Linked DNA regions of Alligator mississippiensis. The protein of the gene in region 1 interacts with the protein of each later gene in a pairwise test. Links are inferred from orthologs where the notes say so. Each region holds a gene or a part of one and is shown in the gene's direction. Other genes may lie near its edges. The genes, in order: BEND7, PSMF1, PPP1R37 and EAF1.

Region 1 (7,073 bases):
TTTAATATCATGGGGGGCTCTGAGACTTAAACCAAATTAAATGGTGAAATGAAAAGTTTTCTGCCCATTGGATCAAGTTTATTTAGCTATTGACTGTTGCCCATCACTGAAATGCAGCTCCCGAATAAGGTGGGGCAAGGCAAGAACAATGAACATTTTGACTTTGACACAAATGTGCTATTGTCGTTCTAAGTCCCATTCTAGGTGTCTACAGAATAAAAATACCAGTGTCCCAAAAGATACTCCCAGGTCTAAGTGTACTTGAAAACTGAACGATCCCTTGAGAAAGATATTCTCTTAGGTCATGGTTGAGGTGGCTTGGCAGTGTGGGATGGAATGTAGGCTCTGCAGTGACCGATATCATACCTGCTCTGTAGATAATTAGAGGACTTTGACCTAAAGGACTGTCAATCTGTCATCTTGTCCTAGTTTCTAATTCACGCCCGTACAGATCACATTGCAGGATCAGGGTTTAGGTGTCTGGGTCGAAAAACACATGGGGTTTACTCACATGAGGAAGTTTTCTCCTGTGCGGTAGAATCAGGCTCTTGGTATACCCAGGAAACTGCTGAAAATAATCATAACTGAAGTTCTGTCAAATGCACAATTTAGGCCAACTGAGCAATAGAAAAAAAATAGTTTTTCACTAACTCTTACTGCAGTAATTGTAGATGTTACTTATAATCATGGAGTGCACTCAATCTTTGTACAGATATGTAATTTCCACAATTGACAGTGTCCCTTTAAGAAAAAATAAATAAAACCCAAAGAGAAAGAATCAAAAGGGAAGACAGACACCAATTCCATTTTGTCGCATGAGTCTCTCTTCACAAATCATGTCCCAAAGTGTTTTACAAAACTGTCTAATACAAGACAAAGAATGGCAGGAAAAACAGAAAAGATCTTTTTTTGGTCTGTAGCACATTCCTTAGGTCAGTGTAGAGTTGAGCCTATCATGTGAGCTGAACAGCAGTGAATGAAGGCCTTATGCTTTATTAAATTCTCCTATTGTCCCATTAAAGATGAGCACAAAGCATAACAGTCCCAAAGATGTTTTAAGTCTTTTAAGTCAAGTTGGCAGAGAAAAATCAGTAGGGATTAGACCCTGATGAGTACAAGCAAACTTAAAACAATGGAGCAGTGGAGTTTAAGACCTGGCTTCATTGAAGTTACGTTGGGGATTAATTGTGACCATTTAATTTAGCAGACAGTAATAGTAATGGCAGCTCTATCACTCCCTTGTGTGCTATTACCTATGGAAATGTAGCCATGCTAGCCCAGTGGATTATCTAGGCTTGGGAAGACCTGTTATCTTCTATGTACCTGCCTCTACTGCTTCAGCATCCACACCCAAAATACATAATGCAGGCTTGAGCGAGCCTGTTAGCCCAGTTTTCTTTTATAAAGTATTACACTGAAGTTTAGAAAATTTCCAAAAGCAGCATCCTGCCTTAGGGACTGTCCACTTAGGAACTTCATTTAAAAGGACATCCCTGTCCAAGCCCCTTAGAAAGGGGCTATTCTAGAACTTGATGAATCTCACCTATAGGCTTATTTTTTCAACGGTGCTATTTGGTGCCAGGTCTGGTTTCTACTTTTTGTTCGTGCAGTACGTAGTGCCACATGGATCTGGTCCAACTGAAGTTTCTACAAAAACTGTGATACAAATAAATAACGGTAATATTCAGTCTGTTTTCTTTGTATTACTTTCACCTCATTCTTCCTAGCCAGTGCACGACCTGCAGTACTGAACTATGGACGTCAGTGGACGGTCAGGGTGTTCCTCTTTAAATACCTGCAGGCACGTTTTGTGCCCGTTTAGGGACTTGCAGCAGGGATGAGACAAAAGATTTTGATTTGGCCTGAGTTTTAAATTGTCTGAATCCAGGATTGTGGTCCCTGCATGCAGTGCACTTTCTCCCAAAGGTGTTCTTGATGTACTGATTGCAGTGAAGTTGCACCAGGGGTGAAATGAGCTCATTCTGTGTAGCAGGTAGCACAGGATATCAAGTACAGTAAACCCCTAGCAGAGGTGAAGGTGTAAACTGGTGACTAAATTAAAGCATTTGCTTCAGTTGTGTTCAGATGATATAAATCTTAGGTTGGCCTTCCTGTCGCACCTTTTTTGAGGAAGGCACTTTCCTTTGAGCAGCCACATCAAGGGAAACTGTGTGAAACTTTGTGCACTCAGTTCGCAGAGGCTCCTGCCAAGCTTCTTCCGATTTTACTTTGTGACCTCTGCCAGGCAGAGATTAACCTCAGGGGCAATTGAAATGGGCACACCCTTGTACACACGATGAGCAATACAAATAAAATCAGAGGGAGATACTTTCAGCCTGCAGTTTCAGGGAAAACCCAACTCAGAAATGGGGGTTGTCAGCATAAAAAGGTTGTACTAGGTGAACAGCTGAGCATGAGGAAGTGAACTCCGGCTCGTGAAAGTTTGTACTCTCTCTCTAGGTATACATGGTATTCAGTTAGTCTGTACATGGGCATATCTACAGAGACTCCAGACTAGTCCAGTTAACCACTTCTCTCTAAGCAGACACTCCCAAGGTGGTACGTAAGCACAACTTGGTAGGATGGATGCAAAACAGTTTGCATGTCCGTAGCTCCTCCTCTTTGTTATTTAATGGGCTTTAGAAACAAGGAAGGGAACACAACCTCCCAGCATGGGGCAGCCTGACCCCAGGCTAACTGGATACCTTTACCTCGGGGAGAACCAAGGCACCTTTACCCTGGGATAACATAACCATGTACCTTTACCCTGGGATAACTAGGGCACCTTTACCCTGGGAGAACATAACCAGGTACCTGTACCCTGGGGATAACTGGGGGCACCTTTATGCCAGATTAACTGCAGACCTTTACCCTGGACTAACATACCAGAGCAACTTTACCCAGGAAATCCACATCTTTACCAGGGGATAATTAGGCACCTTTACCCTGGGGTTAACTAGGGTACCTTTACCCCAGATTAGCATAACTGGGCACCTTTACCCTGGTTTAACTGGGCACTTTGACCCTGGAATAACATAGCAGGGCAACGTTACCTGGAATAAACTGGTACCTTTACCAGGGGATAACCAGGCACCTCTACCCTGGGGTAGCAGGACACCTTACCCCCGGATAACATAACCAGGCATCTTTACCCCAGATTAACTGGGTACCTTTACCCCAGATTAACATAACTGGGCACCTTTACCTGGAATAACCCAGTACCTTTATTAGAGGATAATTAGGCATTTTTACCCCAGAATAACATAAGCGGGCACCTTTACCAGGGATAACATAACAGAGCACCTTTACCTGGAATAACCCAGTACCTTTACTAGAGGATTATTAGGCATCTTTACCCCAGATTAACATAACTGGGCACCTTTACCCCGGGATAATATAACAGGGCACCTTGACTCCAGGTTAACTGGGGTACCTTTACCCCAGATTAGCATAATTGGGCACCTTTACCCCAGATTAACTGGGCACCTTTACCAGGGATAACATAACCGGGCACCTTTACCTGGAATAACCCGGTACCTTTACTAGAAGATTATTAGGCATCTTTACCCCAGATTAACATAACTGGGCACCTTTACCCCGGGATAAAATAACAGGGCACCTTGACTCCAGGTTAACTGGGTATCCTTACCACAGATTAACATAACCGGGCACCTTTATTTACGCTGGGGTAACTGGGTACCTTTACCTCAGATTCACAGCACCCGACCCCTTTCCCGGGGATCACATAACAGTGCAACTTTACCTGGAATAACCCGGCACCTTTCCCCCGGGATACCGTGTCGGGGTAGCTGGGGACTCTTGCCCCGGCGCGCTCCCTCCCCAGCGGGCCCGGGCCCCTGTCCCTCCCCGGGTCCCGGCGAGATGGCGGCCGGCGGCGGCGGCGCGGCGGGCCCGCGCGGGGGGCACAAGATGGCGCTGCCCCCGCGCCCCCCTCAGGGCCCCCGGCGCGGCCGGGCGGGGAGCGCGGCGCCCAGCAGGTGGCAGCGGGCCGCGGGCCGCCATCGCCGCCGCCGCCGCCGCCGCGTCCCCGGGCAAAGTTTGGGGCGCGGGGCGGGGCGGGGCGAGGCACGGCTGCCCCACGCCCCTCGCTGCCCGCCCGCCCGCCCGGAGCCGGCTCTGGCGGCCGCCGCCGAGCTGCTCCAGCCTCCCCCTTCCTCCTTCCTCTCCTCCTCCCCCTGCTCCCGCCGCGGCTCCCGCTCCTGCCTGCGCGCACCATGGAGTTCACGGAGAGGAAGAGAAGCAGGAAATCCCAGAGCTTCAAACTGATCAACCAAGGTAAAGTGCAGCCAGGCTGGGCGGGGGGAGGGTATGCTTTCCCCCCAAATTAGGAACCCTCCCCCCAAATTAGGGCAGAGGCTGTCTGTGTGGTGTCCCCCCCCCCCTTCCCAACTCTCCCCACAATTGGGCTGGCTTCAATTGTAGGGGCAGCTCTTGTACAGGATAAAGTTGGGTTTCATTTCATTCCCCCCCCCCAGAAAAAAAGGGGGTTCAATTTGAACCATTCAAAAAAAAGGGGGGGGATGACAAGGGTCTGCACCCCCCCCTTTTTTAATATTATTATCTCTTGCGTGGCCGCTGCGCACCTACCTCCACGTCTGGCTGGGAGAGAGGTTTCATGTCCACGCCACTCGTTTAATTTGAGGGCAGAGGGAGGGGGGCTGGCTGGCGTGGGACTTGTTGGATTTGGGGGAGAGGGGGCATTGCTGTATTTTTAATTTTATTTTTATTTTTTAATTTTGTCCCCCCCCCCCCCCTTACACACATATACACACGCACACCCCCCGCTTCTCCTCATTCATGTCGGAGAAATGCACCTCCGTCTTCCAGTCCGTCTCGAAAATCGGAGGCTGTCTGGGTGGTTTAAACAGGTAGACCTGGCTTTAGGGGGGGCAGGGGTTTGTTTCTTGCCACCGCAGCCGATGGAGATGTTTTTCGCCCTCCTTGATCCGGCTGGAGATCTTGTAAAGTATCGAACTGAAATATCTCCATGAAATGCCGGATGTGTCCTGCATGCCAAGTTGAAGGCAGAGTCTCTTTGGTGTCATGTCACACTTTCTGAAAAGAAATGCCAGAGGTTCACAACTCCTGTGTCAAGATGAGGAAGAAGGGGTGGGGGGGGGGGGGGGGGGGGCGGTTTGCCGCAGGTTATGCAGGAACAAGTGTAAGAAAGGTGGGTCTAAAATGAAAATAATCTCACTTGAGGAAATCGTGAAATTTTTTATATATATATATATATATATATATATATTGTAAATGCGTAACGTAACAGTGGAGCGTTTGCATGGTGAACGTGTAGATTTGGTTTTTGTTCAGCTGGGTGAATACAAGCTTGTACAAAGAAGCGCTTGCCAAGCTACAAGTAGAAATGCACGAAGGATCATAGAGAAGTAGGGCTGGAAGGGATATTAAATGCCAAGGACTACATTTATTTTTCAAGCAATAAACCTGCTCCTGCATTGCTTGTGAACCCAAGGCTGAAGAACTGCGCTTAAAGCAGCATGAGGATTTGAAAGTGAAACTGATGAGAAACAAAAGTGAAACTGATTAGTGTATTTTTATTTCCAAGCTGAAGGAACTGGTGAAAAGTGTAGAATAACCTAAATAATTAAAGACAAATAGATATTTGACAGATAGTTTTAACCGTAACGTAAGTTAAGTCATTTAATTCTAGATAAACTAATGTTCGGTCGTAAATTCTCAGTTATGCTTGGCTTGTCTTGGAAATCTTCTTCTTGTAGAGATGTAAAGAGACCAACTGTGCCAAATCCAATTTCTGAAGGAAACGTATTTGGATTCTCAGAGAGTCCAGAAGATAAAAACCGTGTTTTAGTACAGTAAGATGACATTCTCATGTACTTTTAGTATTTTTCCTTTTCTATCAGAGTTGATTACCAAGATAATTATATATATGATTGTTGTCTCCCTTGTAATCAGCCTGTGCCTCCTGGCTGAGTCACTCAGTAATGTCACAGTTTAATGTTTACTGTTGTGAAATTGATATGGATTTCACAGGCCCTGGACTGTGACATCTGAGGCAGAAGGGGACTGAAAAGGAAGCCCTGTGCTGTATTTATTTAAAAATATATAAACTATTGTCATTGTTCTCCTGTTTCATCTCAAAGAATCTCAAAGCACTTTACCACCCTGATCATACCAACTGTGCATGTAGAGATCACTTTATTCTTTTATTGAGATGTAGCCACCTCTGGAGCAAAATGCAGTAACTTTAACAGAGTAGCTAAGAACCAAAAGTGAACGTATCATATTTGCTGGAGACAACATATAATTTAAACTTTGTTAATCTGCCAGTCCCTACTGTCCAGGTACTGATAACACACTTTTACCCAATCTGCATCAACAGGAGAAAAAATAAATAAATAGAATTTAATGACTGGAGAACAGGACTCCGGTAAATTCTGTGGGGTTTCTTATTTTGGAAAAGTGACTTAGGAAGCCGGGTTTGGCTCTGTATGTCATACAGCCTTGTTAGTCTTTACTCCCCCAGCACACCCCATCCAAAAATCTTCCAAGTAAAATCCTTATTAAGTGTGACTAGTCACCATTCCCCTTAAATTTGCTTCATATCCATAGAAGTCTTCCTTCCCTATAGTCGCATCTCTCCCTATTTCTCACCTGTATTGATGTTATTTTTTATTCTGATGCAGTGCTGGGATCACATCTTTTGTTTTTCCTTTCTTTTGTGCCTAGTGCTTTACACATAAATAACAATGCGTAATAAGAAAGATTTAATACAGAGGGTCTTTAAATTCTGGACTTGATTATTTTGTCAGGGTTGCAGGTGTGTTTCTCATGAAAGGAGCAACTGCACATAATACTCTTCACTTCTGTTGTGCCTTTTATCTGAGTAGCTCAAAGCACTTTTCTTTGCATTCATTAATTTCCATAACACCTTTACGAGGCAGGTAAGTTTGATAAAAAACCCAGTCCACAAAGAGAAACACTGGGATGTAGGGAATTAAAGGACCTTGTCCTCTGAGATGCTGAGTTCCCTGCATTTCCATTATAAGAACAAGAAGCTAAGAACATCCAGC
Region 2 (7,260 bases), on another chromosome or scaffold:
CAGTCAAGCCCCTGCTCTCGGACCCGCCTGTACCGCAGCGTTGCTTCAAACTTCTGATGCCACAACCCGGAGCTGCCCCTTCATGTGTCGGGAGAGCATGAAGTCGAGAGCATACGCTCCAGCTCCCGCAGACAGGATTTCTGCAGGCGCCCGGGCCTCTCCTCGCTGCACGAGCATCCGGTGCAAAGCCAGAGGCCGGATCCCTACAGACTCCCACGCAGCCAGGGCGTCAGAGACAGCTTCCAGCCTCGCAGGGAGCCAGGACAGACAGGCGAGGTTAGCAAGAGGTGTGACTCCGCCTCGGCCCTGCCACGAGGGGAGATGAATCATGCTTGCGAGTGGCGGCTGTGAGGCATCGCTCCTTCAGGCGTGGTGCATCTTCCAGGGGAGCCGGAGGACTTGCCCTGAGTTATCTCCACTCGGTGCTTATTAATTATGTTGAATCACAGCCTCCCGAAGGGCAGGGAGCTCCACTCCAGAAAGGACAGGGTGCCTGCAGCGAAATGCTATGCTCTTGCCCTGCTGTCCCAGCCAAAACCTACTCCCACCAAAGTCCAGAGCATAAACTTCCCTGAGTCCCAACAGGGAAAAGCATTGGGCCTTTGGGTATCTGCCAAGGTGGGAAGGCAGGGGCTTTCTGGAAAAGCTCGCTTTGAGCAGAGCCCATTTCCTAACACTCATGAAATTAAGCGTGCAAGATTTATTTGCCATAAGCCAGGGAGATCCAGGAAGCCGTCCGTTCTACGAGCCAACGTGGTGATTCCCAAAGAGCATCCCTCCTATACGCCAGCTCGGTCTGGACCGCTCTGACTTGCCCCCAGTGACGTCTGGCTTGCCGCTTTCCTGACAACGTATCTGCCGCCGAGCTCCTATGGGCGGAAATGAATTGGGTCTAGAAAGGAAAGTTACTGAAGCTATTGCAACCGCTCCTTGCACAGCGAGGAAGTCCGGTGCATATATTAGAAATGATGCAGGTCATGATAGGCATAGAAATAGCCTTGCTACAATAAACTGCTGAAAAGCCGCCTGGTGCTATTGCGATAGGTGTCTGAGAGATGCCAAAGGGGCTGTTAGTCTAAAAGCTCAGCGGTGAGCTCGAAGGCCACTTGGATGTGGTGCGATACACTCTTTTTCTTTAAAATAGCTTCTGTCAGCCAATGTCTTGGTCTGCTAGTGGCAAGCCCTGCTTCGGAGAGGCCGGGGGTGCAAAAGCATGGATCAGACTCTAGCAAACCATAGGCAGTGGGTTTGCAAATGGTTTTCTAATAGCTGCTGGTTGAAAATGCACGTCTGCTTTGCAGGCCCAGAGGGCACAACTGTATATGCTGGTCTGCAAACCAGAACTGGCCCTTTTGCACGTGCAGCTGCTGGATGTATGTTCATCCAGCAGCTGCACGTGCAAAGTCCACACGTGCATGTCCGTCCCCCTTATGCAGGGGGTCGGACTTGATGATCTATTGAGGTCCCTTCCGACCCTAACGTCTATGAATCTATGAATCAAATGCACGTACAAGTTAGACTCTCGGGTCCATGTTTGCCGAGCTGGACATGAGGGCACTGGAGGCAGCAGCAGGTGCTATTTGCAGTGACTTTCTGGAGCTGCATATGGCACCTTGTGTCCCCTTTGCCGGGTGCATCTGCAGTCAGGTGTGATCCAGGGCTCGGGCCCTTTGCTCTCGTCCTGCATCAGCAGCAGGGAAGGGTGGTGAGAACGAGCAAGCCAGGCAGCCAAACTCTGCTCTTCCCCCATCCAACGAGAGACCCCGATGGACTGGGATAACCGCAGGAAAAGGTGGAAGGCAGCTGGTTACCAGGGAAGCCGTTTCTCTGGAAGAAGACAGATAGCCCTCGTTAGCTGGGGGCTGAGATAAGACCAGCACTGACCGCCTGTGAAGAGCTTCCATGCTCCAAGCACTGTGCGGGCATCATGAATGGAGCCTCCCACGGCCCCCCGAGATGGAAGAGCGTTATCCCCTTTTGTGGACAGGGATGTTGGGACCCAAAGGCCCTGGCTGCTGTGCTGGGATCCCAGGGGCTGCTTTCTGAATGCCCTGACCTCCAAACACTCCCGCTAGCTGCAGCTGGGTCCAGGCTCTGCATTTCATGCAGGGCACCCCGTGTCGGCAGCCTCTTTGGGCCTGTGGAAAGACAGGCCAGGAGGGACTTGCAAAGCCCAAGTGAAGCACCCCTGGCTCTTAGGTCCTGTCTGCAGCAACCAGCCACCTCCCTTCCCCAAAACCCAGACAGCTTCCAACGTGGACAAATTGGAGAGTCCAGCGGAGGGCAACGAAAATGGCTTGGGGCCCGGGGACAGGACTGGTGAGGAGAGGCTGAGGGAACTGGGCCGATTGAGTCTACAGAAGAGAAGACCGAGAGGGGATTGAATAGCAGCCTTCAGCTCCCTGCAGGTGGTCCCAAAGAGGATGGGGCTGGGCTGGTGGCAGATGAGAGAACAAGGAGCAACGGGCTCCACTTGCAGCATCCCTGGAGCTGCAGGGAGAGGAGCTGGAGCAGGGAGGGGTTTGGCAGGAGCGTCCGTGGGGTTTGCAAAAGCATCGGGAGCCCTCTAGCGTGTGCCGTGCCGCGCCGCTCCGGATGATGGAGAGAGAAGCCTGGAAAGATGACACAGGAAAGGGGAAACGAATCCTACCCTCTGGAGCAGCTCGCACCCAGCCCGGAGCCAGCTCCGGCTCCTGTAACAGGATGCTGACATTGCCAGCCCCGCTGCCCAGCACCTCTGCCATGCACACGCAGGGGAAAGGATTGGATCCTGCCCGGGCACCTGCGCGTGAGCCCCACTTCTCCCAGGGCAATCCCACTGCCTCCTGGAAGCGGCTGCCGCATGGATGCAGCTGCCGCGTGGATGCTCAGGGGCTGCGGGCAGGGGCGAGGACAGGCCGTGCCCAGCCCTGGGACAGCTCAGAACATGGAACTCGGGGCCCTTGTCACCTCACCCGTCACCCAGCAACCGCCAGGCCATAAACCGGCAGGGCCCCAGGCTGCCGGCCTCCCCCACCTCCCTTTGCATCCCCGCGCCTGGAGCCGGAGCAGGGCCCACAGGAGAGGCAGGAGCCTGGGAAGGTCGGTGACATGCAGGGCAGCGCCCGGTCCCAGACCCTCCCTCCAAACTCGGTTCTGGGAGCCAGGTTGGCACGGGGCCCCGCGTGGGCGCTGGATTCACGCGTGCATCTGCGTGATGCTCAGCACCACTAGCGCTGTGCAGACGGGCAGTGCGGCCCTTCTCTGCCAGGCACCTCTGGAGCCGCTTCACTCCAGCCCTGCCCGGGTGCAGGGAGGGGACGGGCCGGGGCAGGGGCAGGGGCCGGCCTCCGGGTTGGGGACACGGAAAACACTGCCTCCTTCCTGGGGGCAAACCCCCCAACACGCACGTGTCACCCTGGCCCTTGCCCCTCAATACACACACACACACACACGTATGATCCTAACTCTTGCCCCCCCCCATGCACACACTCACATGTGACCCTGGCATTTGGCCTCCCACCACATGCACATGACCCTGTTTCCCCCCCCCCCCCCCCACACACACACACACACACACACACACACACACACACGATCCTAACTCCTGCCCTCCCAATGCACACACCCACACCCATGTGTGACCCTGGCCTTTGGTCCCCAACACACACACACACACACACACACACACACACACACACACACACACACACACACACACAATCCTAACTCCCGCCCTCCCAATGCACACACCCACACCCATGTGTGACCCTGGCCTTTGGTCCCCAACACACACACACACACACACACACACACACACACACACACACACACACGATCCTAGCTCTCCCCTTCCCCATGCACACACCCATGCGTGACCCTGGCCCTTGGTCCCCAACACACACACATACACACGTGATCCTAGCTCTTGCCCTCCCCATGCACACACCCACGTGTGACCCTGACATTTGGCCCCCCAACACACACACACACACACGTGCATGCAACCGACACACTGGCTCTTCCCCCCCCAAGACATACACATGCGCACACACAATGACCCCTCCCCCCAACACACGCACGCGTCCGCCCACGTGTGTGCCGCGCCGCCCCGCGCCGCCCCGCCCCTCCCGCAGCGTGTGCCCGCCCACAGGAGGCGGTGCCGTGCGGGGCGGGGCGGGGCGGGGCGGCGCAGCTGCGCAGCCGGGAACGAGCATGGCGGGGCTGGAGGTGCTGCACGCGTGGGCGCTGGCGGGGCTGAGCCGGGCGCAGGACGCGCTGCTGTGCGCCGTGCACTGGGAGCTGGTCACGCAGGGCTACCGCTGCCTGGGCGCCGGCGACCGGGTGAGTGCGGGGCGACCCCCCAGCCCGCTTTCGCTTTCGCTTCTGCCAGTGCTGGGGCACGGCACCCGTCCCTTGTGGCAGGCCCTTAGGGGCGGCCTAAGGGGGTCTGTGCATGCCGCCGCCCTGAGCCGTGCTTGCCCCCCAGGCGGGTCCCAACGAGAGGAAGTCGGAGCTGCTGCCGGCAGGGTGGCACGTGGACAAGGAGCTGTACACGCTGCGGTACCAGGCCCAGGACGACAGCCAGGAGCTGCTGCTCAAGGCCATCATGGTGGACACCAGCATGATCCTCAATGTCATGGTGAGCCCACGCCTGGGGGGAGCTCGGGGCCCTCCCTCGTGCCCAGGCAGCTCCATCCCCGACGCCACGGGTGGGAGACGTGCCCCGGGGACCCAGCTGCCCTGGCAGCTTGGGTGTGCAGGCGGGGAGCGGGCCGTGGCGCCTGCTCCCATCCGCTGGCAGCTGACACGGCCCTTCCTTGCCCTCGCCCAGGACCGCAGCTCACTGCAGGTGGCGGACGTGACCTTGAACGTGGCGGACTACGTGGACCCGGAGCACCTGGACGACTTCCACATGTAACTGCCCGGGCGAGCGGGGCTGGAGCCATTGAGAGCCAGGGAGGGGCAGCAGCGAGGGGCAGCCCGGCACGTCCCTGGCTGCGAGCGGGGAAGCTTTGCGCCCACACGTGGGTAGCTGCAGCCATGGGCCGGGTCTGCCAAGGGGCCACGGGCTTTTCAGTGGGTCCTTGCGGTATTTTGAACATGTGCGGTGCCACGTTCCCATCGCACTCACCCCTACGGGGGTCCTGTAAGAAGATACAGGGTAGAGGAGCGTGTGCCTGGACGGGGCCAGCCAGGGGATGAGAGGCGCCTGTTCCCCCCTGTCCTCCCTGCAAGCTGCCATTACAGGAGTGGGCAATTATTTTGGGCAGAGGGCCACTTACTGAGTTTTGGCAAGCCATCGAGGGCCACGTGACAGGCAGCTGGGGGGTAGATAAATATTAATTTTCTAAATTTTTTAGGGACCTCGCAGGCTGGATAGAATGGCCTGGCAGGCCACATCTGGCCCCCGGGCTACGTTTTGCCCACCCTTGTGCTAGCACGATGGCCCAGCTCCCCAATCCCTCAGGCTGGCAGTGGGGCAGGTGGCCCCAGCGTGTGCCCAGCAGCCATCCCTCTCCGTCCCCGCAGGGTGTACAAGAACGTGGAGGAGCTGAGGACGAGGATCGTCTCGGGCATCATCTCCCCATTCAGGACTGACAAGGAGAAGGACAACAAGAAGGAGTCCAAGCCGGAGAGGACGGTCCCACCAGCTTCCCACCACGACTACGACCCCCTGAGGATCCCGCCCCGGCAGCCCCCGCTCAGCAGGGAGCCCCCCTGGTGAGTGGGGTGGAGGGGGCAGGAAGGGGGTGGCAGAGCACAGAGGCCACCTGTGCTGCCCCCATGCGCCCCGTGTCCCCTCCCAGCTGCCTTCTCCCCAGCCTTGGTGTTGCACCATGGCTCTGAAGGATGCAGGAGCAGCCCCAAGCCCCCTCACCCCATGTCTGCCCACGTTGGCTGGCAGAAGAAGGAGCCAGCAGGTGTAGTTTTCAGCTGGCAGGTGTGTTTCGGAGTCGTGGGGGTGCAGGACCCTGCCACCAGCATCCCTGGCAAGGAGCTGTGGGTGAAATGGGGGCTGGAGAGTGCCCTGTGAAAACCCCCTCCCCACCTGGGCCCTACAGGACACTGACCTGCACGCCTTGCTCTCCAGGCCACGGCACCAGTGTCCACGTGCACAGGGGCTGGCCCAGTGCCTGGGGCTGGCCATGGCAGTGCCGGCTCCAGGTCTGCAGCACACTGGAGCTGGGCATGGTCCCAGTGAAGAACCGCAGCCTCCACTGCTAACACGCTCTGACACGCACCCTGTGCATGTCCGCCACATCCTCCTGCTCCCTCGCGCTGCCTCCTGCACGTGGCACCCCACCGAAGTGCACGGCTCTGTATAGCTGGTGTCCCGCCTCGCAGTCACTGTGTCTTGTCTTGCAGGCCATCTCCCCTGGGCCCCTTTGCAGTGGGCGGAGAGGACCTGGACCCCTTTGGGTGAGTATGGCTGGGGAGATGGGGCGCTCCACCCACCTCCACAGCCTTTCCGGTGCCCCCTTGGAAGTGAGAGCAGCCGTGTCCTGCTTGTGGTGGGGTGGGATGCATTGGATGCCTCCAAAATCCCTTAAATCAATTCGTGCCTAGGTTTCCCATGTGGATGCCGGTGGGGCAGTTGCTGCATGCAGAGGGCAAGGGACTCCCCCTTGGTGCTGGCAAAACCCAAATGTGGTTTTGATCTCACAATGGGCTCCTACAGCTTGGGGCGCCTGAATAATCAGCTTGGATTCATTTAACACGCAGTAATTCCTCTGATAAGACGAGGCTGACCATGAAGCTCAGGGCGTGTAAGCCTTGCATTTAGCATGTTGCCAGCTGTCACCTCGGTGGCCCCGAAAGCTGGTGGAAGGGAGGGGGGAAGGATTTGCCCCCTTCTCTGGTCCCATATGTGACCCTGCAGCATGAGCTCGGCAGGAGCCTTTGGGCTGGGGCCAGGAGGATGCCGGACTGATGCATCACGTCTGCTGTGTGCACCAGCCTCGCCTGTTGTGGGGAAGCCATCCGCAGTCAGAGGGGAACACAGCCAAGCTGGGCAGAGCTAGGAGCAATGACCTCAAGTGGCAGCAGGGAAGAATTTAGGCTGGAGATGAATTTTCTGACTCTGAAAGAGGTCAGGCATTGCAACAGGAGCCCAGAGGAGTTGTGTAATCTCCATCCCGGGACGTTTTCAAAAGCGGGTTGGGATGGTTTAGCTGGTGATGCTCCTGGCGTGAGCAGGGGGCTGGACTAGACGTGACTTTGTGAGGTCCCTTCCTGTGATCCTACACTAGAACCAGCCCCTGGAGACACGAGCCAGCT
Region 3 (8,186 bases), on another chromosome or scaffold:
GGAACAAGCAGGTGCTGGGATGGACCCGAAATCAGGCCAACTGGGGGGCAACGCTGCATTGTCGAGACAGCGCCGTCCGGCCAGGGAAGCTGGCCCCGCTGGGTAGCGCTGGGGACAGCCCGCGCTCGCCTGCTGCGGCCCCGACTGCCGCTAGGAAATGGGCTCAGGGGACGCGAGCTCTCTGGACACACGGGGCTGTCCAGGGACCCGTGGCAGCTCCCCCCTTGCTCTGCTTCTGCTGAGGGGGTTTCTCCCGGGGCACACGTGGGTGACTCACCCGCTCCGGATGTGGCCTCCCATGTCGCACGCGCGGCCCCAAGCTGCAGCTGCGAGTTCCCCTCCAGCCCGCGCTGCTTGTGTGCTTTGTGCAGGTGGGCAGCAGCGGGGCCCTGAGGACGGAGGAGCGGCAGGATGGTCCTACGTCTTGTTCAACATCTCGGGCCTCCCCGACGAGGAGGAACTGCTGGCTCTGGAGCTGCGCTTCTCCCGCCAGGAGATGGTGGCCCAAGGCTCTCGCATCAGCCTGTACCACGCGCCGGACCCCTCCGAGGTGGCTGGGGGCCAGCACTGGCTGCTGGAGCACCGCGTCGTGGCTCAGGACCAGCCGAGGTGGCAGAGCTTTGACGTCACAGCTGCGGTCCGAGTGGGGAAGCGCCAGCTCGGGTTCCTGGTGGAGGTGGTTCACAGAAACAGCAGCTCGCTGTGGGACCTGCACCTCCGAGCAAGACGCTCCCCCAGGGAGGCCGAGGGGCGGTGGGCCCCAGAACGGCCTTTGCTGGTCACCTACAGTCACGACCAGAGGAGCAAGGCCCTGAGTGCCTGGGGCAAGCGGAGCAGAGGTCAGGCCACCAGCCGAGATGGGAGAGCAGGCAGGAGGTCTCCCAGGCCCCGGAGCAAGCGGAAGAGCCCAAAGACCAAGAAAGGCCCGGCCTGGTGCCACAGGCACCCCGTTTGTGGACTTCAGGGACATGGGGTGGGATGACTGGATCGTGGCTCTCAGTGGCTACCATGCCTTCTACTGCCACGGGGAATGCCGCTTCCCCCTGGCCGCACACATGAACTCCTCCAGCCACGCCATGGTGCAGACGCTGCTCAGCTCGGTGAATGCCAGCGTGCCATGGACCTGCTGCGTCCCCACCATGCTCAGCCCCGTGGCCCTGCTCTACCTGGGCCAGCACGACGTCGTTGTCCTGAAGACCTATGAGGACATGGTGGTGGACGGCTGCGGGTGCCGCTAGAGAGGGCAGGGAGCCGTTGCAGGCAGAAGGGGCTCCCTGCACGTGGGCCCGCATACTGCCCACCCCAGCTTTGCTGCACCAGCAGCACCCGCACGGGAGCAGGGGCAGGCAGGCGGGGCTGTGCGGCCGTGGGCCGGTGCCAGTGGGGAGCATTCGTGGAGCTCTGTGGCTCCTGCCTGCGCTGAATGAAACGAGTGGAGAGAAGTGGCTGCCCTTTTTGTGGGGGAAAAGGGTCTAAGCTAGAACCCAAATACGTGCTCGTCTCTCCCCGAGCCGCGCTCCCCCCAGTTTGTGTGCTTCCTCCTGGCCCCAAGTGGGTCCGATTCAAGCAGGCTGGAGAAGAGCCTGGCAAATGTGTGCCCTCCAGCCTGGTGGTCCGAGGGCTGTGCTTGAAGTCAGAGACGCAGTGAGGAGCTGATATAGACCCTGCATCTCGCAGCTTCTGGGTGAGTGCCCAAACCACTAGGACAGGGGTGTCCAACTCAAAATGAGCTAGCAATGCGGATCTAGACTGCCGGGCTTCTTGCCACAGCCACCAGCCCTGCCGTGTTGGTGCCAGCAGCCAAGAGGCTAATGCAGCATTTGAGAGGCCTGATCTCATGCTCAGGTCTGCACATGCACAGCCCCGTGCACACCCAACAACGTGCAGCCTCCTGCACGTGCTCCATGGCTGTGCAGACCGATACACGTTTGTGCTGCACGTGTAACAAAATTGGAAGCCAGGCCTCGGTGCTGGACATGCTGCTCATGCAGCTGGAAAGCTGCATTTTGGGTGCATTGAGGGTAAGAGAATTCCACCGTCTCGCTACTGAGCGCGTGCCAGCTATGATCCTTCCAGGCTCGTAACCCGGCCAAATCTGAGCAGGTTTGGACGGGGACGGCAGAAGACACATCCCCGAGGCAAAGTGCACCCTGCTTTCAAGACCCTCCTCTCACGAATGCAGGTGCTGGAGTGCTCCAAAACCCCCATTACCGCTGCTTTTTATTTAACAGGCAAAAAAACCTTATTTCACCCTAGCCTCATGCTCAGAAACAGCTGTTGTAATTTAGGCTGTAATTTTCTACAGGAAATCACAGCCCGAGCAGCTACGGCTCGACAAAGACACAAATCACTGAAATCAGGGTCTTATAATGGGAACCTCAATAGCGGGCAGCGCAACCAGCCCTGCCCGAAGCCACAGCAAGACACAGCAATTGCTACGGCTTAACTCAAGGATGGCTTGAACACTTTAACGGCACCTGTGTGTGGATTTGTGTGTCGTAGAACTAACCGGGAATGCTGAAAAACCAGAATTATTCCATTATGAAGGTTATTCAGGAGAGAAAAAAGCCACCTCATGGTAGCTTTCCTGAGGTATTCAGTTTTTAATTACTTATAACTTATATATAAATCTGCTGTTGATTTCTTGAAGTTCTTTATTAATCCATTCTCTTTACCCAAAGTGCAGTAAGTTTGAGGAGGCTATGCCATCATTTTTAATCAAAACCAGCAGGATGAATCCCAGTTTTCGGTGCAAAATGGAATTAATTCACTCTAAACTATAGGGTTGTGACCAGCTGCTGGAATTTCTGCACCAGGCTCGCGGGCTTGCTAGCAGGGCACAGGTGCCAGGCAGGTTTTTGCAGTGCTCTTAACAGGATGCATCTCCCTGGATGGGTGCTGCGGTTGTGGCGATAACGTAACCGCTCTCTATTTTGCAGACTGTGTTTGCGGGCTGAGACCAAAAACACGCCAGGTCAAGGCAGATCTGTGCGCCAGACATGCTTTTGGTGTGCCACTTTGTAGGACATCAAGTTAACCCGCCTTGTTCTGGTCTGATGTGTTCTCCAATGTTATGATGCAGCTTCATGGCTCGTGGGTCACACGTGATAGGACCTAGCCATCCCGGTGCTGGACAAGTGTTTCATGTGGGGTGCACTGGTCTCTGCATTTTCCAAATTGCAAAGTGGCCAGCTGAGACCATTTCTGGCTCAGCCTGTTGTTGCGGCCAGCACAGCCCCTTACCGAGGAAGCTGGAACAGAGCAGGAGCGGAGAGTTTGTGACCAAAATAGCTTTAATCGCGGTCAGGCAGCTGGTCCGACTGCTGCCTGGGGGATTAACACTGGGATACGTTAATTCCAGCGTCTCTTACACAAACCAGGGATTTCATACATTTTACCTTTTTAAGTCAGAGCATGGTCGGATGACGCAGAGCTGCGCCGCGCGCCCCCACAGCTAGCAGTAACCCCCTACCCTCCTGTCCCAGTAAAGCCTGGCTCCGCACCCAGAGCAGCCTGTAGCTCTGCCCGTTCGGTTCCTTCGGGTTACTCCTGATCCTGCTGGTGACCGATTCCCCTCATTACTGTATTCACCTAGTTTGCTCCCTTTCAGGGCTCGGTCCGGTTTGCTTCGACGCCATCAAGCGGGCCGTCTTCTTCGAGGGTATCGGGCCTGTTGGCTTGAGCAGCTTTAGCTGATTCCAAGTTTGGGAGGAGTTTTAGCAACTGATCTGTTCCAGGCCAATCGGGGCCATCTTTCAGTTCAAAGCGAGGCCTTTGGCTGAGACAACCCCTCTCATTTCATACAAGACATCAAGAGACTTCCCCCTCCCTGCTCAACGGACAACAGGCTTGGTGACCCAGTTATGCAATTGTCCCGCACGTCCCCTCGCGCGCACACGACGAAGGTTGACGGGAGCTCACGTCTAGTCCAAGCCCCGCTCCAAGCAGGCCAGCCCCGACAAGGCTTTGTTGAGCTGGGTCTTCAACGCCCGCGAGGACGGCGATCCCACCGCCCCCTGGGCGCCTGCCCCAGCGCTTCCCCACCCGCCGCGCCAGCAAGCTTTCCCTAAAGTGCAGCCTGAACTCCCCCGGCCGCGCCGCCCCAGCCGCCGCGCTTCGTGTCCCGCGACCCGCTTCTTCCGGCCCCGCTTCGCGAGGAGGAGCTGGGGCTGGCCCTGCTCGGCGCAGGGGCCGGACTAGACGTGCCCGCCGAGGTCCCTTCCCTCCACCCGGCCCGTGCCCCCGCTTCATCCCCTGGAGCCGCATCTGCTCTGCGGGCTCCCGCGTCGCGGCGTGCGGGGCCGGCCGGCCAGGCTTCGCCTCCGGCAGCGGGAAGCCTGGTGACCCCGGCCGTCACCAGACCGGCCCGACGGATGCGTTTATTTGTCGGGTCTCGGCGGCTACAGCTGTGTGAAGTCGGAACGGAAAGGACTCGGATGCAGCCGGTGCCGGGGCGACGCGCGGGTGTTGGTGCCTTCGGCTCTGCCCGGAGAGGGGCACGTTCACGGCGGGAGCGGGGACGCCCCTCGCCCGGCCCGCGCACCCCACGTGGCCGCCCAACCCGGAACTGCCGCCCCGGCCCGCGCGACGCATGCGCAGAAGAACGCCAGGCACAGCCCCGCCCCCTTCCTTAAAGGGCCCCTCCGGCACCCGGCGTCGGCGTGCGTGACGTGTGCTTGCGTGAGGCCGCGTGTTCGCGGCAGCGGATTCGTGCCTTTTTTATTTTTTTTCCCTTCGGAGCGTTGCTGCTGTCGCGGGGCCGCCTCGGGCCTGCCCCCGCGCGGACAAGCGGCGGAGCCCTCCATTCGCCTCCGCGGGGCGGCAGCGAGCCCCCGCCTCCGCGGCGAAAGTGCTGTGCCGGAGCGCTCGGCTGCCGCGCCGGGCGATGGCCGCCGCCAAGGGCTGAGCAACCGCCGCCGCCGATTCGCCACCAGCCGCCTCCGCTCCCCGCGGCCGTCGGGCCCCGGCCCCGCCCCGCCCCGTCCCCCCCCCGTCCCCCCGGGGCGCCGCCGGCAGCAGTGCGGCGGGGCGCGCGGCGGCGCGGGCCCGCGTGGAAAGTGCGGGCGCGGACGGGCAGGCCGCTGGCGCACTCGCTGCGGCGCCTTCCCGGGCCCGGTGCGGACGGGCCGCCACCCGCGAGCGCCGCCCCGCGCCCGGCCCCGGCCCCGCCATGCCGCCCGGGCCCGCCTGAGCGCGCACAGCCGGCGCCGGCCATGGAGGGCGCGCGGGGGCCCCCCGCGCAGGGGGACCGGGCCCTGGGGGACGCGACGGGCCCCGAGGAGCCCGCCGCCGCGCCGCCCGGCGACGACTTGCTGCTGCTGCCGCTGCCGCCCGGGGAGGGCGAGGCGCCGGTGCGGGGCCCCGGGGGCTGGCGGGCTCTGGGACGGGGTCGGGGTGAGGGGGCTCCCCCAGGGGGGTGGGGGGGCTCTGGGATGGGGTCGGGGGTGCCAGGGGGTGCGTGGCCCCAGGCGGCTGCCGCCGAGGGGTGCCCCGAGGGTGAGGAGGGAGCTCGGTGCCAGCCCCTCCGCCCCGTGCGTCTCTTCCCCCCAGAACTGTTCCCCGGAGGCGGAGAGCCCGGGCGCGGACCCGGCCCAGCCGGCCCAGGCTTCTCCTCCCGCCGAGGACGGCAAGCTCAAGCCTGGCGCGAAGCGGGTGACGTTTCCTTGCGACGAGGACATCGTGTCGGGGGCCGTGGAGCCCAAGGACCCCTGGAGGCACGGTAGGGTCCCAGGCTGCCGAACCCGGCTCCAGCGCGTGGCTGCTGCAGCCCTGTCAGAGGCTGCGTTCGTCTCCGTGGTTGGGTTCAACGCACAGCGGGGCACGAGCTTCCCAAATTGTTTGTTAGAGCCGGAGACTTCGCCGGGGTGCTAGAAAACGTTGCAAGCGCTTTGTTGCTACACGGGACGACGCAGCTTGAGGCTTGTTTTAGCTGGTGAAAAAACGGCCGGGTTTGTTTGTGGGGCCGCGCGCAGGCTTTGTGCAGGTGTGCCCAGTCGTGCGGCTTTAGCAGTCCCAAGTGCACGCCGAGCTGGTGTTTGCTGGCGGCGTGCTGAGCTTTTAAACAGAGGTGGATGTTTTATAAGTTGCATTCTTGCGTCCGGACAGAGTTGTCCAACTTCTGTTGTAACCGGTGGCTTGTAAGAATAAAACCCCTTTCTTAAGACCGCTCATGCCGGTCTCTCTCTCTCTCTTCCTGTTTTTCTTTATTTTGCTTAGCTCATTTGCAGAAAAGCAAACATCTCACTGACCTTCCAGATTTATAGTTATTGAACTCAGTCAATGCTACAAAAAGAGATACTGCTACCATTATTAAAAGCCAGTGCACTTACCCAACAGTCACTGCTAATACCTCAGTTTTGTAAATTAGTTTGAAGTCATGTAAAGCTAATGTTACCTTCAAGTAATGTGTTGCATGGTTTTAACTTTTAAAATAATTTTTGTCAACTGGATGGTGTATACGATGTAGTCGGTGCCCTTACTGTTTGCTTCCTGCATGTGCTCGGTGTTGAAGGAATGTCAGTCTGTCTGACCAGGATTACTTCACCTCCTTGTTCTGGGAACGGATTTTGAGGGAAGCTGTTGAAGCAGAGGTGCAAAAGATCAGGGTGTTGCGTCTGAGAAACGGTGGCATTTTGAACCGGTTACAAAGAAGTTGTATTCTCTTCCTACCTTTGCTTTTTAAAAAGCAGTCTTTCTGAAATGCTCTTTACCTTTTCTGTTGTTGAACACTGACGGCCTCTGGCTAATGAATCAGTATTTCACAAGCACCAGGTTTATTTCCCCAAATTAAATGGGACTGCTTGGTTCTTGATGTGCTCAGGTATGTTGTCCTGTGCTGCTTGTTACTGGGCATGCTCCGTGAGGGAAGTGCACCAAGCAGCGCCGCTTAGAGAAACTCTGTCAGCGTTTCTAAATGTAGGTTTAACGAGAGAGGGACAGAGACGGGTCATCCCGTACAGGGGTGGTACTAACAGTACTGAATTCTGCTAATCTCTGTTGTGTTTGCAACAAAGAGGTGGATTGGTTCCTAATGGCCTGAAACTTTATTTCACCATGTATGTAATTTTATTGACATTCTTTGTATTCTTCTGCCATAGTATGGAGGAGAGAAATGTTGAAGACTTATTCTTCCCTAAATAAAAGTATTACTTGCCTTTTGAAAATTGGGTCAGATGCTAGGAGGGGATAATGATACTTCAGGCCTGAAGATATCTCTTGCTTTTCATAAATCCTGCTGTATTTACATAAATGTGAATGGGTAACTTGCCTTTTGAGTGACAAGCTTGCATTTACAGATGAAGTATTTAATTTCTTTAGTTACTGCAGCAGCAGGCATAATTATGAAGAACTGCAATGGGGGGGTGAGTAATGCAATGATCTTAACATTCTTTTTACAACAGAAATAATCAGTACATTTTAAGTGACCGTTCCTTTTAATTTACTGTGTATAATAACTGTATTCCTGGGAGTCATGTTAAAATGAAGGTTTTGTTTCTGCTAACTTCTGTCGTGCTCAGTAAAGTGGTGAACAGGAAACGGATGATGGTAGAGTACAATAGAGCACGGGGTGGATGGATATGGAATGGCCAGCTGTTCATTTCCCAGCTCTTGTCCTGGCACGGTTGGGTGGGCAGCACTGCGATAGGGATATGATGCTTGCACTGGTGCCACTGTACTGATAGCGAGGGACTAACAGTTAAGTTTAAAATGATGTCAGAGCATATGGTGCAAGAGACCTACTTAGGGCAGATAAGTTGTCTTTGGCTGGCTGAACTCCTGACAGTCATGGGGCAGGTTGGAAACACGTGCTCCCTGTGTGTCACGGGCACAGAGAGCCAGGTTCACACAGTGATCCGGAGTGTTGCTGCCCCAGGCTCTTGGGTGCCCGGCTCTAGGACTGTACAGCGAGTAGGGAATGTTGGATGCTTTAATCAAGGGTGAAATGCGTGAGGAGGCTTAGGGGCCAGGCCAGAACCCAGGACTCCTTCCTCCCAGAGTAGTGCCCTCGTTACTGGTGAATCGTGCTCCCCTTGCTGCACCGGCTGGCCTTCTGAATCTTGCGTTCCTTTCTGCACCACGGAGCAGCATCAGTCAGGAGAGGTGGAGCGTGGCTCATCCCAGCCTACCCTGCAACTCATAGGTTAGAGGCCTCCCACTGCAGTTTGACCTCCCGTTGGGCTGAGGGT
Region 4 (8,174 bases), on another chromosome or scaffold:
AATTTAGACGTAAACCGACGACTGCTGGCCCGAATACTTCTGCCCGAAAATCTCTGCAGACCGACCTAATGAACCCTGTACCTGTTTGCAACTGTAATCCAAGTCAGTTTTCGTCCTGCACTGTGACCATCAGCGGTGTAAGTAAAGCAATCTATTTGTTCAACCAATACGCTTCGGTGCCTAGTTCCTGTCCGTCGGTCAAAAAGTACCCGCCCGCCGTTTCGGGCTGCTGGCCACAGCCCGGCCTTCCGGCCTTGCCACTTGACTGCCACAGGTTAAAGGAGTCAACCGCCTTCACAAGCAAAACAGTGATTGGGCTTTCAGCGTTGTTCAAACTTAAGAACTATTCCCTTTATAGAAAGCAACCTTAGACGTATGCCAAAAGCTAAGGTTCCTTATTCAAACTGTAACTGATATGCTATACAGAATATCCTGTAATATATAAGGATAATGAATTCTATAAAATACATCATACTATTTTTTTCTGGAAAACGTTGCAAACAATAAAAAAAATGTTATCAGCACAAAAATTGAGTCTTTCTTCCCAACAACTGGCTGATATTTTTTGGATTACAGTACTATCTATAGTGCACTAACTGCTTTGCATTTATCAGCTCTTTGTTACAGGGACAGTCCTGCAGGATACTGAGCACTTTTAACTAGAGTCAAAAGAATTTATCACTTTGTTGAATGATGTTCTATTGCTCCTCATTTGTTTCTCATATAAAATCTAAGGATATGATCCATCCAAAGGCTTACGTACATACTTAACACTGTAGGGTGTGAGCAATCCCATTGTTTTACATTACATTTCAGTGGGACTACTTAGTCTACAACATTAAGTCCATATATGTTTGTAGGATCAGACCCTCAGTCATTACCAACACACACACAGAGCCAATCTCTCAGATTTACTAAGTGAAAAATTTAGTGCAAAATTATTTTAGTCCCTGCAGGAAGCAAATATAACTACTGTAATTACATTCAGAGTGTGTTACGTAAAAGATTCCATTATGTCACAGGACCTTTTCAGAATAGAATGGCTCTTTCAAACAAGAAAGAAAAATGTTAAATCATACTTAATTTACCTTGTAAATATTTTGCAAGACCAGATGCATCTTGTCAGGGTGAATGGCAGAAAGCACAAATATTAACGTGACAACATCTACAGAATCAGCTGGTATATTTTCTAGAAGGTCATCTTTGGTAAGATCACACTGGAAAACTTTACACCTCTCAATATTATATGAAGGGTTTTTCTAGGAAGTGAAAATATTTTGCTGAAACCATAATTGAAAAGAGCAGCATTTATTATAAAAATAGAAAAAAAAATAATTTTGATTTTTTCCTTTTAATCAGGAGAATAACAAAAGGAATATGACTGCAAAAGTAAATTAAAACTTTCTGGTATGAAAATTTTCTGCTTGAGATGAGGTACACACAGCTCTTTTGCCTAAAACTGGCAATACAATCCATTCTCAATGATTTGGGGAGTAAAAGAAATAGGAAAGAAATTGGCCTGTTGTCCATCTCTTATGAGTCTTACAGGTACCTCTAACCTACCAACCTCACTCTAAATTAAAATGGAATTCAGAGTATTTGGAACAATTTTGCAAAATATAGTCCTGTAGGTCAGATGGCATACAACCAAATTCAATTTTTAATTTCTTTTACCGACTGGTCCTTTGAAGACATATATTTACATCTATAGGTTGATTTTATAATTATATACTTCTGCATTTGGAATTTATAGAAAATCAAGAGAATCTTAAAGGCCCAATGTCTCTTTAAATCTTTATGAAAAATATTATAATGTCTATAATTAATATAATAATTAATAATGAATAAATATAAATAGTACTGCTCTTTCTAGTTGATCTACACATTTCTTTGAAAATAACTTCCGTGTCACTGCTTTCACAATCACCTTCATCCACTACCTCTCACAAAAAAATTAAAGTATAATTTATGAACATATATCCTAAAACAAATTTTGCTTGTACTTTGAAATTTATGGTTTGCATTGAAACAGTACTAGTCCCAACGTAACTTTTAAGGACTATCTAAGCAGAACAGCTACTCACACTTATTACTACAGAAACACAGTTTATTACTACATAAGTCAGGTTCTATGTAATGATTCAATTTCTTATATACAGTGTTAAGCTCCAGTGTGTCCATTTCATACTTCCATACCTTACAATTTACCATCTTTATAGAAGAAAAGGAACCAAGCAATGCAATTCTATCATTTCTGTAATGTGGAGTTTTACAGAGCCCAACTTTCTGAAGCAGCACTAAAAAAACAGACATAGCACACCAACCTTCACATATTCAACAGCTCTTGGAGAGAAGTCACAAGCATAAGCGAAGATATTGAAGTCCTCTTTTAAAAGTGGAAACAAGCAGTTCCCAACCCCACAGCCTGCTTCAAGAATAGTGAGTTTCTGATTTTCAAACTAGAGGTGAAAAAGAAGTCAATACATACCGTATCGCTTTTGTTTCATCCTCAAAATGTAAAGATACAGATTGTCACATTTTATAGTTACTATCAGTTTCACTTATCATCCGTTCAAAATCTGAAAAATCCTTTCACTTGCAATTTGACATAGGAAATACAGGCTTTATTTTGTGCTATCTTATGTGTCTCTACAGAGCCATTAATATGCCATTACTCATCTATCCATTTTGGTAATGAGCAAGCTACTGTATCTACTTTACCTCATCTCTGATTTAATAAGGTGAACAAAGGATACACCTCAATGCTTTTTTTTACATGCATATTTTAATATACCAACAGCTCTAGCTAGATGACTTCATATTAAGGTGAATTAACAACTTTTCAAATTGTGTTTAAAAATCTTAGATCTGAGCTATGTAAACTCTAATATAGGACACAGGAGAAAATATTCCAGTCTGGTTCTGAATGTATAAGACAGGTCAATTATAAATACAGACTTCATAAAGTGATTTAACTTTTTTAAATTTCTGAAGCCTTCGAGTAGGCAACAGTCAAAGAGGTACTGAAAGTGCAACTGAATGCATGATGCAGCATGAAAGACTTGAAGTATAACAGTAGAAGCCACTGTCACAGCTTATCTGATCTGTAAGGGGGACTTGAAATCATTTGAAGATGACTGGAAGGCAAGGATTTTTTTAGGGCAGTATCTTTTATTGGACCAACTGCATAGTTAGGATAGAGTTGGATAAAACTTTGAATGCAAGGCATTTTTCATTAGATGTCTTGCACTGGAAAACTTATCCAACTCCATCCCAACTATGCAGCCGATCCAATAAAAGATACCACCCGAAAATATATCTTTGCCACCCAGTTCCTGGACCATCATAGCCACAACATCACTCTAGCACTACCATAACACTTGAAAATAATTAGCAACATCTGTTCCTTTATTTGTAGAACTAGTGCACATAGCTCACCTCTCGGCATGCTTTTAATTCTTCAAACTCTCTGGTTGTCCAGTGTCTGTCTTTGAAGAAGTTGGTGCTATTCCTTTTGTAAAACAGATCCCAGTTCTTCTGGGCCTCTTTCTCCAGTTTTGATTGTTTGAAGTCAGACACTAAAGTTTGATCTCTTGCGAGTTTCTCGGCTTCTTCAGCGCTAAGAGTCCTTATGCTGTGCGCTTTTTTTTGGAAAGCGTCGCCTTCACAAGTTGGGGCTATTACATTTGGGTGATTGGCAGGCACGTCTTTCTGGGACATTCTGAATTCATCCATATGAATGTGAACACAGCAGATTTAAAGTGGTTTTCTTCTTCAGCTGCATATTTCCATTTCTATTTCAGATAAGGCAGCCTAGGCCCTACAACTGTCAGAAGGAATGAAAAAGAAATTGTTATTGTCTTCACATCTTGGGGGGAGGTTGTTCTGCTCTAAATGCCAAGCTAAGAGAGTATCAAGCCCGCAATGCTGACGCTTCCACAAAAGTTCAGAAATATCCAACATGAAAAAACCAAACTGCATTCCAATCTTTTCTGCGCCTCACTTAGAAGCCATTAAAAAGCAGAGAGGCCATAACCCCAACTTATTTTGACCAAAAGCATAAAGGAAAATAATGTCAAATGGGGCTCCCTTTCTTGTTAGCACCAATTAGCCTCACACAAGGAAATTCAGTACAGGAAACATGGGGAGGCTTTAAGAGTTCAACTTAAAGTTTAGCCACATCCACATCAACCTTTTCATCCCTGGTTTCCCCTGCTCAGAGCTCCACATGTGGTAGCAATGATGGAAGCACTAGTGCTTAATGAAAACAGTCTCAAATTTGCTCACAACTTCATTTTCCTAAGAAAATGAAGCAGTGTGTATGCTGAGACCACAAGTAAGAGGATGCTTGTAAAAATGGTACTATCCTCCACATCGAGGTCACAACCTCAGTTTATGGCCTATATAACAAAACAGCTGAAACACCAGCAGGCAGTCCACATTAGCGCTCCTTCTGTGACCCCTACCTGTGAGGCCGCACCGGCGGTAGCGACCCATGTCAGAAGAAGACGGTGACCTGTTTGGGAAGAAAAGGCTGTGGAGAACATGAGACTAATCTTGGGGGTGGGAATCCCACTTCCAGAATCAGGGAAGGAGCAGAGCTCCCAATGCCAAGTGCTTTGCTGGCCCAGCCTGGCTTGACCCTGGCCCGTCACCCCTGGCTCCACGAGTTACCCTTCACATCGCAGACCCGAGGTCCTCGTGTTATGCGACGGCCTTAGAAGCGAGCCAGCGCCCGTCAGCCTTCGCCAGCCTACAACAGGCACCCGCCTCGGCAGCCACTATTCCTCCCGCCACGCGACAAGGGGCGTCTTCTCCTCCCCCAGACCCTCCAGTCAGTCACGGCGGCCCCGGCTCCCACGGGGGCAGGCAAAGGAGAGGAGCCCCGGCAGGCGGCTGAGAAACGGGGGGCGTCGCGGGCCCTGGCTGTAGGAGCGAGTTGGGCAGGCGGGGCCCAGCCCCGGGTGCTCGAGGCCCGCCCAGGCTGCAGGGAGCCACTTCCCGGCCCCAGGCCCTGCACCGCCGCGCCGGCCCGGACCGCTTTCCCCGCTGCACTCGCCGCCCGGAAGGAAGGAGGGGACGGGGCGGGATCGGAGCGGCAAGGCGAGGCGGGGCCGGGCCGGGCCGGGCCGGGAGATCGGGGCATGAACGGCGCTGCCAACCCGCTGCTGGATCGGGAGGAGCACGGGCTGCAGCTGGGCGAGAGCTTCGAGCGGCGGCCCAAGGCCTCCTTCCACACCATCCGCTGTGAGTGCGGCCGGCCCGCAGCTCTGAGGGGCCGCCGCGCCCATCTCCCCCAGCCCGAGACCGTCCGGGGCAGGCTGGGGCCCCGTGACCTGCCTCAGCTGCAGGGCCCCGCTGCTGGGGCAACGGCGGAGGGGCTGAGGGCCGGGTGCTGTTGCTGGGGTTGGCCTGGGGCAGGGTTGAGCCTGGGGTAGGGAGGAGCAGAGGGTTGGACGAGTCCAGCGGTTCTCCGCTTTGTTTTTGTACCAGGACCCCTTTGTAAACCTTGGTTCCCAGTCCCGACCCAGTGCCCTTCGCTCCCGTGTGGGGCAGGGGGTGGATGCATGGAGGTATGGGGTGGGGGGCAAGCAGCCCTTTGCAGCGTCTGAGGAAAAAGCCATGGTTTCCCACATGTTAAAGCAGTGGTTTCATATATCCTTGCGACTGATTTTTGGGTCACGACCCATGGGTTGAGAAGCGCTGGACTAGATGACCTCTGGAGGCCCTTTCCAGTCCAGCTTGTCCAGGATGCTGTCGTCGTCCTGCCCTTAAAACCTGCTGGAGGCACAGGCGGGAAGCGGGGTGTGACTAGGAGAGGCTCTTCAACCTCAGCAAATCCTTAAGGGTTTTCGTGAGAAATAGAAGGAAAAATGCTGAACGTGTTCTGGGCAAGTTGAATTGAATGGAAGTGTGTGAACCAGTAATTCAGATTTCCTTTCGGAGTGAAGAAACTAGAGGCTTCTGAAATGATCACTATAAAGAAACAGGGAAATCAAGAAAACTAAGATAGGGATCACTGGAAAATTAGGACTAGGTGAGACGAGTACTTCTTGTATGAGATGGTTTGGAAAAGCAGAATCCTGCCTAGCGGGACTAGATGACCTCTGGAGGTCCAGCCCAACCCAACTTTGGTGTGATTCTAGGACAGAGCATGTGTGTTTGGGTTCTCACCACTACTTAATATTATTGGTTATCAGAAAGAAAACACAGAAGTTGTTACTGATCAGATTTGCAGATAAAACGGGAATAGATCAGTAGGTCACTAAACTGCTTCTTCCTTTGTATCTCTCTAGTGTATTTTAACCAGTTAATTTCATGTCCTTACAGCAGCAGGACATTGACAGTGCCCTTGTCCCCCTGCTTTACCTGTGGGAATTTAAGGAGTTTGTGTTTTGGGGCATTCTGCCTAGTAGTTGCATGAGAGGGCTGTTCATGCATTTTTACAAATAGGTTAGATAAACACTTGTATAGGATGGTTTAGGTAGAGATGACCCTGCCTTGAACAGGGAGCTGGACTTCCAGGCCTATTTTTCTATGATTGTATGTATACCTTCCCCGAACACCTCATCTGGGTACTTCTAGGAAAAGCAGGGGAGTTTCTAGCCCCTCCATCTGTGGAAAGCTGGATGGAAAATAGAAAACGCTTTGGAGTTCAGTGGGAAAAGGCCATGATTTTATCTAAGGGGGCGTAAAGCTAGTGTGTTCATAGGTAAACTAACAAGACACACAAAGACCAATAAACTCTCCAAGCGAAAAGTGCTTGTGGGCCATATATTTGCTCTACCAGGCACCGCTAGGAAAGAAGCCTGGTAGTGAAATCTTTTGTCAGTCACCCTTGCTCCTACCATTTCCCCCCTGTAAGAGCAGAGAGCTTGACAGGATCCAAAGTCAGAGATCTCCAATAAAGGGTCAGAAATGCACCTCTCACTCAAAGAGAAGTTTCATTAGACTGCCCATGCTGAACGGCTGGCTTCTTTCTTTTGGCGCACAGACCAGATGGTGGGGCGGGTGTTGATTTTCTGTGGCTACTCTTGTGTTCCACACAGTAAATCTGTAAAGCTACATTAGGGGAAAACAGCCACTAGTTTTAGACTACAAGGTTCTTTGGATAAACCTGAGGACATGGTTTGGTCTTTGGATGAAAAGAGTAGGAACACAAGTTAAATCTAGTTGCCATTTCATTCTCTTGTTGTTTGGGAGTGCTGAAAGGGTATGGAACAATTAAGCTTTTTGTCATTAAAGTCAACAGCTTTTATTCAAAGTGAGTATCTCTTTAGAAGAAGTTTGTTTGTTTTAGGTTTTTTTGCAAGCCTACCTTTTGTGTAGAGTTGCATTTTACATACCTCCATGGAACTGATGTTTTAACAGCAAATACAATAATTAGAGATGTCTTGGCTGTGCAATTTTGTATGCTGAGACCAGAAGTAAAAAATGCTTGTAAAAATGGTAGTATCCTCCACATCTGGGTCATGATCTAATTGTACTATAGGAGCTTAAACCATTTTTCAAAACTTTAAACATTGTGGTCATATGTTTATGTCTTTATCTTCATATCTCAGTAGTGTGGTTGAATAACTAACTGAAAATCTCTTTTGAAATTATGTTTATTTGAATTAAATGTTTTGTATTAGCAAAAGTTCCTAGGGTCTTAGCTTACACTAGTTCAGAACAACAAAGTATGCTCTGTTCAGTCAAACTAAAACCCTTGTGAGCTAAGGCCACTTTTAGGGAACTGGGGACTCTAACATGTCATGACACAAGGCCTATATTGCCATCGGCCCCACTTCGGTATCTTGCTTGTCCCCCACCCCCAACCTGGACTTGCCTTTCTGCTCTCCCCACAAGTGTCCATCCTCCTGCCTGAGGAGGGGAAGGGGAACACAGAAGGACCCTAGGCAATACTAACCTGAGCAATCACAGAGTATCTTCATAATAACCTGAACTGACTGAAGTTGTCTTTTGTCACACTCGAGAGTCCTCTGGGGTGTTGTTGACAGGGCCCCTATACTTACTGTGTTCTGGAGTTAACACCCTACTAAAATATGTAGAGCAGTTCTGTGCTTGATTTAGGCCACCTGCAAACTCAGATGTCACTGTGCCTATTTAAGCTTTTCATATTTACCTTTTTGTATGTACCTATTTAAGCAACCACAGGGTCTAGACACTAAGGT

What was found.
Region 2: the proteins of BEND7 (region 1) and PSMF1 interact in a two-hybrid assay, tested with the Homo sapiens proteins (2 studies listed by BioGRID and IntAct). The two-hybrid records come from large-scale screens. The link is inferred for Alligator mississippiensis from reciprocal best matches to the Homo sapiens genes BEND7 and PSMF1.
Region 3: the proteins of BEND7 (region 1) and PPP1R37 interact in binary tests that used the Homo sapiens proteins (3 or more experiments, as listed by UniProt). The two-hybrid records come from large-scale screens. The link is inferred for Alligator mississippiensis from reciprocal best matches to the Homo sapiens genes BEND7 and PPP1R37.
Region 4: the proteins of BEND7 (region 1) and EAF1 interact in binary tests that used the Homo sapiens proteins (3 or more experiments, as listed by UniProt). The two-hybrid records come from large-scale screens. The link is inferred for Alligator mississippiensis from reciprocal best matches to the Homo sapiens genes BEND7 and EAF1.

The regions. Positions count from the first base shown.
Region 1 is NC_081827.1:14,538,576-14,545,648, reverse strand, and holds the start of BEND7 (BEN domain-containing protein 7), read left to right. Parts: upstream 1-4,063; 5' UTR 4,064-4,235; coding exon 4,236-4,296; intron 4,297-7,073.
Region 2 is NC_081832.1:1,942,388-1,949,647, forward strand, and holds the start of PSMF1 (proteasome inhibitor PI31 subunit), read left to right. Parts: upstream 1-4,164; 5' UTR 4,165-4,194; coding exon 4,195-4,323; intron 4,324-4,468; coding exon 4,469-4,621; intron 4,622-4,813; coding exon 4,814-4,896; intron 4,897-5,511; coding exon 5,512-5,703; intron 5,704-6,348; coding exon 6,349-6,402; intron 6,403-7,260. UniProt on the Homo sapiens protein: Plays an important role in control of proteasome function. Inhibits the hydrolysis of protein and peptide substrates by the 20S proteasome. Also inhibits the activation of the proteasome by the proteasome regulatory proteins PA700 and PA28.
Region 3 is NC_081838.1:260,237-268,422, forward strand, and holds the start of PPP1R37 (protein phosphatase 1 regulatory subunit 37), read left to right. Parts: upstream 1-5,133; 5' UTR 5,134-5,213; coding exon 5,214-5,351; intron 5,352-5,550; coding exon 5,551-5,719; intron 5,720-8,186. UniProt on the Homo sapiens protein: Inhibits phosphatase activity of protein phosphatase 1 (PP1) complexes.
Region 4 is NC_081828.1:140,259,235-140,267,408, forward strand, and holds the start of EAF1 (ELL-associated factor 1), read left to right. Parts: upstream 1-5,060; 5' UTR 5,061-5,144; coding exon 5,145-5,247; intron 5,248-8,174. Other genes in the region: tRNA N(3)-methylcytidine methyltransferase METTL6, read right to left, coding at 1,089-1,259, 2,325-2,459, 3,439-3,735. UniProt on the Homo sapiens protein: Acts as a transcriptional transactivator of ELL and ELL2 elongation activities.